Linked DNA regions of Mus musculus. The protein of the gene in region 1 purifies or fractionates together with the protein of each later gene. This does not show direct contact. Links are inferred from orthologs where the notes say so. Each region holds a gene or a part of one and is shown in the gene's direction. Other genes may lie near its edges.

What was found.
Region 2: the proteins of Stx12 (region 1) and Vamp3 purify together in Homo sapiens (affinity purification with mass spectrometry; 3 studies listed by BioGRID and IntAct, counting the BioPlex papers as one, with this or other methods). This does not show direct contact. The link is inferred for Mus musculus from reciprocal best matches to the Homo sapiens genes STX12 and VAMP3.

Annotation. Positions count from the first base shown.
Region 1 is NC_000070.6:132,867,448-132,871,099, reverse strand, and holds part of Stx12 (syntaxin-12), read left to right. Parts: intron 1-2,832; coding exon 2,833-2,932; intron 2,933-3,652. UniProt on the Homo sapiens protein: SNARE promoting fusion of transport vesicles with target membranes. Together with SNARE STX6, promotes movement of vesicles from endosomes to the cell membrane, and may therefore function in the endocytic recycling pathway.
Region 2 is NC_000070.6:151,047,834-151,051,485, reverse strand, and holds part of Vamp3 (vesicle-associated membrane protein 3), read left to right. Parts: exon of another isoform or gene 1-410; coding exon 411-569; intron 570-1,439; coding exon 1,440-1,491; intron 1,492-2,439; coding exon 2,440-2,456; 3' UTR 2,457-3,652. UniProt on the Homo sapiens protein: SNARE involved in vesicular transport from the late endosomes to the trans-Golgi network.

The DNA of each region.
Region 1 (3,652 bases):
GTGGTGGCACACACCTTTAGTCCCAGCACTGGGGAGGCAGAGGCAGGCAGATTTCTGAGTTGGATGCCATCCTGGTCTACAAAGCAAGTTCCAGGACAGCCAGAAGTACACAGAGAACCCAACAAAACAAAACAGAATGTTCTATTCTTAGGGGTGGAGAGATAGTTCAGTGGTTAAGAGTACTGGTTGCGGGCTGGTGAGATGGTTCAGCAGGTAAGAGCACTGACTGCTCTTCCGAAGGTCCTGAGTTCAATTCCCAGCAACCACATGGTGGCTCACAACCATCCATAATGAGCTCTGACACCCTCTTCTGGTGTGTCTGAAGACAGCTACAGTGTACTTAATAAATCTTTAAAAAAAAAAAAAAAAAAAAAAAAAAAAGCACTGGTTGCTTTTCCAGAAGGCTGAGGTTCAATTCCTAGCACCAACTTGGTGGTTCATGACTGTTGATAGCTCTATTTCTGTGGGGTCTAGCTCTCTTTTCTGGCCTCTGTGGGCACTTCACATATATAGTGCACAGACATATGTTGCAGGCAAATCACCCATACACATAAAATAATAAAGTAAAAATTTTATTCTTTGGTGCTGGAAAAATGGCTCAGCAAGTAAAGAAAAGTGTTTGGAACCCACATGGTATAAGGAGAATTCAAAATTCTGGGAAGTTGTTCTGTAATGTCAGCGTATCTCATGTGCATCCTGGCACACCTGTGTCCAAATCCATCATGGTACACCTACACACACACACACACACACACACACACACACACACACACACACTAAACAAATAAATGTAATTTTCTCTTTAAAGTTCTGTTTTTTATCTCCGGCTGGGCTCAAACTCACAGAGATCCTCTTGCCCATGCTGGGACTAAAGGCGTGCAGCCCCGTAGCCCAGCTCTGTCCTTTACTGTAAAGTTGGTTGAGCAGCACTGTTTGCTTCCTCGAGATGTTGAGAGATGAGTGAGTAAGTGTTAGCGCAGGGAGCTATACTAAGGAGAGGTGACATGTCTCCATATCTTAGTGCTTCTAGAATGCTCTGGCTCCTGATTGGCTCCCTCTTGTTATCTCTCTACTTTTCTAATCTTAGAAGCCTGCTTGCAGTGAAAAATCACTGTGGAGTCCTGGGCACTAAGGCTGCTGCAGCAGTCGATCATAGGCCAGATAGTTTATAGACAACCATAGTTTTATTTTTCATAGTCCCCGAGGGTGAGATGCTGAATGAAGGTCAAGGCTCTGGCAGATAGCGTGTCAGATGAGGGCCCTCTTTTCCATGGAGAATGTTTGGGGTTTGTTTTCCTTTTGAAATGGTTTCACTATAAAGCCCTGGCTGCCCTGAAACTTACTATGTAGACCATCTAGCCTGGAACTCCAAGCCATCTACCCACCCAAGGATAGGGATGAAAGGCGTTTGCCATCACACTAGGCAGATGGTGCCTTCCTACTCGGTCCTTACTTGGTGGAATGGTTCCTTGAAAGGCCCATCACAGGCTAATCATTTTCTTTCTTTTTTAAAGATTTATTTCTATATGAGTACACTGTACCTGTCTTCAAACACACCAGAAGAGGGCATCAGAGTCCATTACAGATGGTTTTAAGCCACCATGTGGTTGCTGGGACTTGAACTCAGAATATTTGGAAGAGCAGTCAGTGCTTTTAACTTCTGAGTCATCTCTCCAGTCCACTAATCATTTTCTAATCCTACCTCCTAATAACATCACTTGGGGGCTTAGGAGTTCAGTGGGAATTCAGACCACAGCATGTGGCTTCTCTGTCACCCCATAAAACCTTTGTAGAAATGGCCGGAGAGGAGAGGTCGCCATGATGGGAAGAACCTGTGTTTATTTATTTTTATTTCCATTGCATCGTATTTATATCCATGTTCTTCCTCTTGAATTTGTTTGTTTGTTTGTTTTTGTTTTTTGTTTTTAGACATTTACTGTAGGAAGGCAGAGAGAGGGAGAGAGTAGGGAAGTAGGCTGGCCATGGCCACATGGAGAGAGACGGAAAGGGAAGATGGAGAGAAGAGGGGTAAGGGGGTAAGAATAAGAGGAGGAGCTCCCTTGAATTTCTTTTTCCTTCCATCCGTTCATCCCATTTTGTTTTAGAGACTGGCCTCAAATGTTCCTCCTATATCAGCCTCAGAGAAGCTAGGACTGTGATGGAGGTCACAGCGCCCATCACCTAGCTTCTTTGTGGTTTTTGGTTGTTAGTGTTTATGGTGCTACAGACTGAGTCCATTATCTTGCAGAAGAGGTAAGTGCTCAAAACAGCATAGGGTCCAGATGCCAGGCACAATGATGAAGGCGGGTAGGGGCAAAGGAAAAATCCACACAAGGAACCAACTTTTGGTTGGGAAGAGCTTGGGAATGGGTCTTTGGAACTTTTTCCTAGGTATGTAGGAAGCTATGCTTTTAATACGTGTTTCATCTAACGGCCCTAGTCAGTGGACTAATAAGTGCTGACCATACAGAGCTCCTGGGAGGTCAGTAAGAACTTTAGAGTGAGTTCAGTGTGTTGAAGTCATTAGGTTTGGGTGTAGGTAGTAATTACTCCTCTGTTTCTATAGAATACAGACATTCATTTTTTCCTAAATAGTTGAAACTCCTGGTCTGTGCTTGCTTCAGCAGGTATCATTGAGTGAGCATCTTTCTGCTCAGTGGAACTGCTTCAGTAATGGAGAAGGCCTTGCCCTGGGCTTGTGAGCATAGCACTGAAGGAAGCTCTTGTTCTAATGGCTCTTCATTCCTTGTACTAGGAGTCCCTGAGCACAAAGTAACAATAAGAGAGCTCTCAAGAAGCCACAGCATCCTGACCCTGTCTTTTCTCTCTTAGGCAACAGTTACAGCACTCCACAAATCAGCTGGCCAAGGAAACAAATGAGTTGCTGAAGGAATTAGGGTCCTTGCCCCTACCCTTGTCTGCATCAGAGCAGGTTGGTATTTTCTGTTTTGTTTATTAATAGAGGAAGATTTTGTTCTGATGGAATGGTAGTATAGAGAACAAAAGTAGGGCTTTGGTTCTCGATAAACATTCTCTAAACCTTAATTTCCTTACTACCTTCCCCAGTTTCATTTCTGTTGCTATGATAAAATACCAAAACAAAAAGCATCCTAGAGGAAAATTCACAATTCCAGATTATAGTCTCTTATTGTGGGAAAATCAAGGTAGCAGGAACTTGGAGCACCTCGTCACATCTCGTCCACACTCAAGAGGAGAGAAATGAGTGCGTGTGTGCTTGTTCTATTGTCACGTGCTGTGCTTAGCTCCATTTTTCTACTTTTTTAAAAAAGTTTTTTATTATCTTTATGTATGTGAGCACACTGTTGCTCTCTTCAGACACACCAGAAGAGGGCATCAGATCCCATTACAGATGGTTGTGAGCCACCATGTGGTTGCTGGGAATTGAACTCAGGACCTCTGGTAGAGCAATCAATGCTCTTAACCGATGAGCCATCTCTCTCCACCCCCATTTTTCTCCTCTCACACAGCTCATGATCTCCTACCTAGGGAATGGTGCTGCGTGCAGTGGGCTGGATTCTCCCACACTAGTCAGTTTAGTTAAGACAATCTCCTATAGACACGTTGACAAGCCAATTCAATGTAAACAATCACTCATTGAGATTCTTTTCCCAAATAATTATAGGTTGTGTAA
Region 2 (3,652 bases), about 18 Mb from region 1:
CTATGAAGGAGTCTTAAGAGTTTCTTACATGTGGCACAGATAGTTGTACTCCTCTGTTCCAACCGGATGCCTTTCTTCCCCTGGATAATTGCCCTGACCAAGACTGCCAGTGTAGTGTTGAACAGCCATGAAAGTGAAACATCCTGTTGTTCTGCTTCAGATCTTAGAAGGAAGTTGAGTCTCTCACCATAGTATGTGATACTAATGTGGGCTTCTCTGTAATTGAAGTCTCTTCTATTCCTGGTTTGCTGTGTGGATGTATCCCAAAGGCCTGGGCTTCCTTCTTAAGTGGAAGTTTAGCTCAACATAATAAAGTACTGATCTGGAAAAAAATACAAAGTGCCCATAGGTGTCATGTGGAGTTTTGTTCTTCCTCTCCTTTCCGTGTAACTGTGACCATGTCCATTTAGGTGGTTGACATCATGAGAGTCAATGTGGATAAGGTGTTAGAAAGAGACCAGAAGCTCTCGGAGCTAGATGACCGCGCAGATGCACTGCAGGCAGGTGCCTCGCAGTTTGAAACAAGTGCTGCCAAGTTGAAGAGAAAGTATTGGTGGAAGAACTGCAAGGTAATGCTCTCTTGACAGACCTTCACAGCGGGCCTCCATACCCCAAGTGTTGCACAGGCACTCTGTTGCATTGGGTGACTCTGGGTAGTGGGTAGAATCTTGGCCAACTATGAGTCTATATCCCTTTTCCTGGCCCACAGCTGGGAATCTAATGCCATGTTTTGTGGCTAAAGTTAGAAGACATGCAGAATCAGACGGCCCAAGCAGTCGTGGGCACTAGACCTAGGTAACTGAGAACACACTGACGGGGCTATTGGCTTTGATGCTCAGTTAACTGCCCATTCTGGGAATGGCTCCAATTTCAAAAGTTAAATGCTGGGCTCGTGAGATGGCTCAGTGGGTAAGAGCACCCGACTGCTCTTCCGAAGGTCAGGAGTTCAAATCCCAGCAACCACATGGTGGCTCACAACCATCCGTAACGAGATCTGACTCCCTCTTCTGGAGTGTCTGAAGACAGCTACAGTGTATTACATATAATAAATAAATAAATCTTTAAAAAAAAAAAAAAGTTAAATGCTAAGAAATCCCACCTTGTTCAAAAAGAGGAGAAAGCAACATATGAATATTGTCCAAAGCAGACTTAGCAAATGGGAATGTCTGTGATTAGAGCTCACACACTTCCTGTTATGCTTTGTTTAGAAAGGACACTCTGAGATAATGGGACAAGATCAGGAGCCTGTGTGGAAATGTGTGTGTTTTCAGAGGTCACAGAGGATTGGAATCTACTTCTGAAAGCCCATAACTAAATTTCAGGACTTAACTGAAAATATAAAATTTAGGCTTTAGAAATTATATAAATTATTTCACACTGTAGCGGTTGCGGCGAGCACTGTCTGTTTTGCAATGTTAAATGGATCTGTCTTGTTGCAGATGTGGGCGATAGGGATCAGTGTCCTGGTGATCATTGTCATCATCATCATCGGTGAGTTACCCATGGTCATAGACGTTCGTCTGTGCAGCAGCAAAGAGTGGATTCAGTCCAAGGTTTAAATATCGTTCTTTATCAAGTATTTTAAATACTTGAGGGTGTTTTGAGATGATGGTATTGCGGGAAGTTTGAGGCAGGGTCTCGAGGCAGGGTCTCGATGTTCAACCCAGGCTGGCCTTGAACTTGTGATCTTTCCGCCTTAACATTTCAAGCGCTAGGATTATAGGCCTGTGCCACCAAAATGATCCTAAATATTTGAGTTTTTGTAATTAAAGTCTGGTGTTTTGTTAGATGGATGATGGATAGATGGGTGCACTTATCCTTTAAGAATAGCAAATCTCACTCCTAATGTCTGGTCAATTTTTCTCTCCTGTGCAGTTTTAGTCTGTGTCCTTTTGTGGAATGTAGTGATTAGCTGAGTTGATCCATCCCAGCTATGCCACCTGTAGTAAGGCTCTGTGACTTTGGGCAAGCAGTTGGGTCTGTCTGGACCTCAAGTGTCCTCATGAATAAAATGAAGATGGTAATGGTGTCCACCTTGTGTTGTTAGGACAAACCTGGTTATTACATAAGAAAGTACCTGGCATAGGAGAACAGAAATAGTAATTATGTAAATAATGTATATAGCTAGCACATAGCTACTCCCACCACTCTTGTGACTGCATATTAGAAGAACTCACTTTATTTTCATTCCAGTCTATGCGAACATCCTAGCAAAGCATGCCTTCCTTTGCTAGTTCTTGTTAGTATTTCCTTTTCCACTTTTGAGTTTAGTCTTCCCCAGAGCCCTGTAGCATGTAAAGAAGCTGCCAGTGGAAAACTGGCCAAGTCAGTTTCTCTCTGTCCCTCTTTAGACAGTAGAAGTCCATCCCTACTGAGTATTTGCACACACAAAGACTAACATGCCCTTTTCATTGTTTCTAAATCTTCCCTGCCTCTTAGTGTGGTGTGTCTCTTAATGAAGAACCGATGAAACTGAAGCCCGATATTCAGGATCTTCTTCAAGACTTTCTACTTAGAACCTGCCGTGTTATCGAGCTTACCTATTGTTTTTTTTCCAAATGATTATTTTTGTTAGTTTACATACAGTTTAGTGCCTAGAAAATGTGCCTTTGTTTTTCATATACACTCCAAACTGGAGGTGTGACCTACCCTCCCCACATTTTGCACAGTGCCTTTACAGATTTCTGGACTGGGAAAGAGGACTTGTGTAGTTCTGAGTGCTGAATGGAGGTGGATGTTGTCACTCAAGATGACTTGTTGTGGATTCCAGGAAGGGGGTTTTGTTCAAGGCAGCTGTCCCCACATCTGACATCATCTTCAAAACCACATTTTAAACTTTTGGGTAATTAGATTCCTAACTTGGACCTTCCAAGAAGAACACTACTGCCTAACAGCAATGGGTGACAATAGCAGGGTGTGCCTTATTTTGATAGCTAGGAAACTGTTCTTTAAGATTATTCTCCGTTTGTAAGCACTACTGACTCCCGCTGTATTTAAGATGCTGGTGAAGAGCTCATGCTCTTATGTTAGATATGACTATGTTTACTTTCTTGTTCTTGTTGTATATCACTCCTAAAATAGTATTTTAACCAGAAATAACCCTTTAAGAAGTTTTTATAGAACTATGACCAAAGTTTCTATTTTGCCAAAAGTTAAGTACAAATAAATTGCCCCAATAGATACATTCAAATAAGTGCCAAATGTAACTCAAGGTGTCCTTTAAGAAAAATGTTAATACTGTGAGAGCGAGCCTTCAACATGTCGGCAGTCCATCCTGTGAAATGCTATAGAGAAGGCTAGTCATTCTGATTTGGTTTCTTCTTTAGAGCTATGGAGGTGGGCTCAGATCACACCTGTAGACAAGATACTTAGCCAGCAGTTTGTAGACTGAGCTAGGCTGTGGTCTCTAGTGCGATGTGAGCAGTAGCCGTGCAGCCTCACCAAGGCATCAGTCTGCACAGAGTTCCAGAAGACTGTGTACTGCTTGTACTCATCTCTGTCTTATGCTTGAGGTAAGCCACCGGTCACTCGTAGAGGATAGCTAACCAGAGATGCCTGGTGCTCTTAGAATGTAGCCATTGCTGTCTGGGACAGTTTCATTGTTTATATGAGACTTTCATCAAGGCTTGGTTCAAAGACAGGAGTTCAGGCA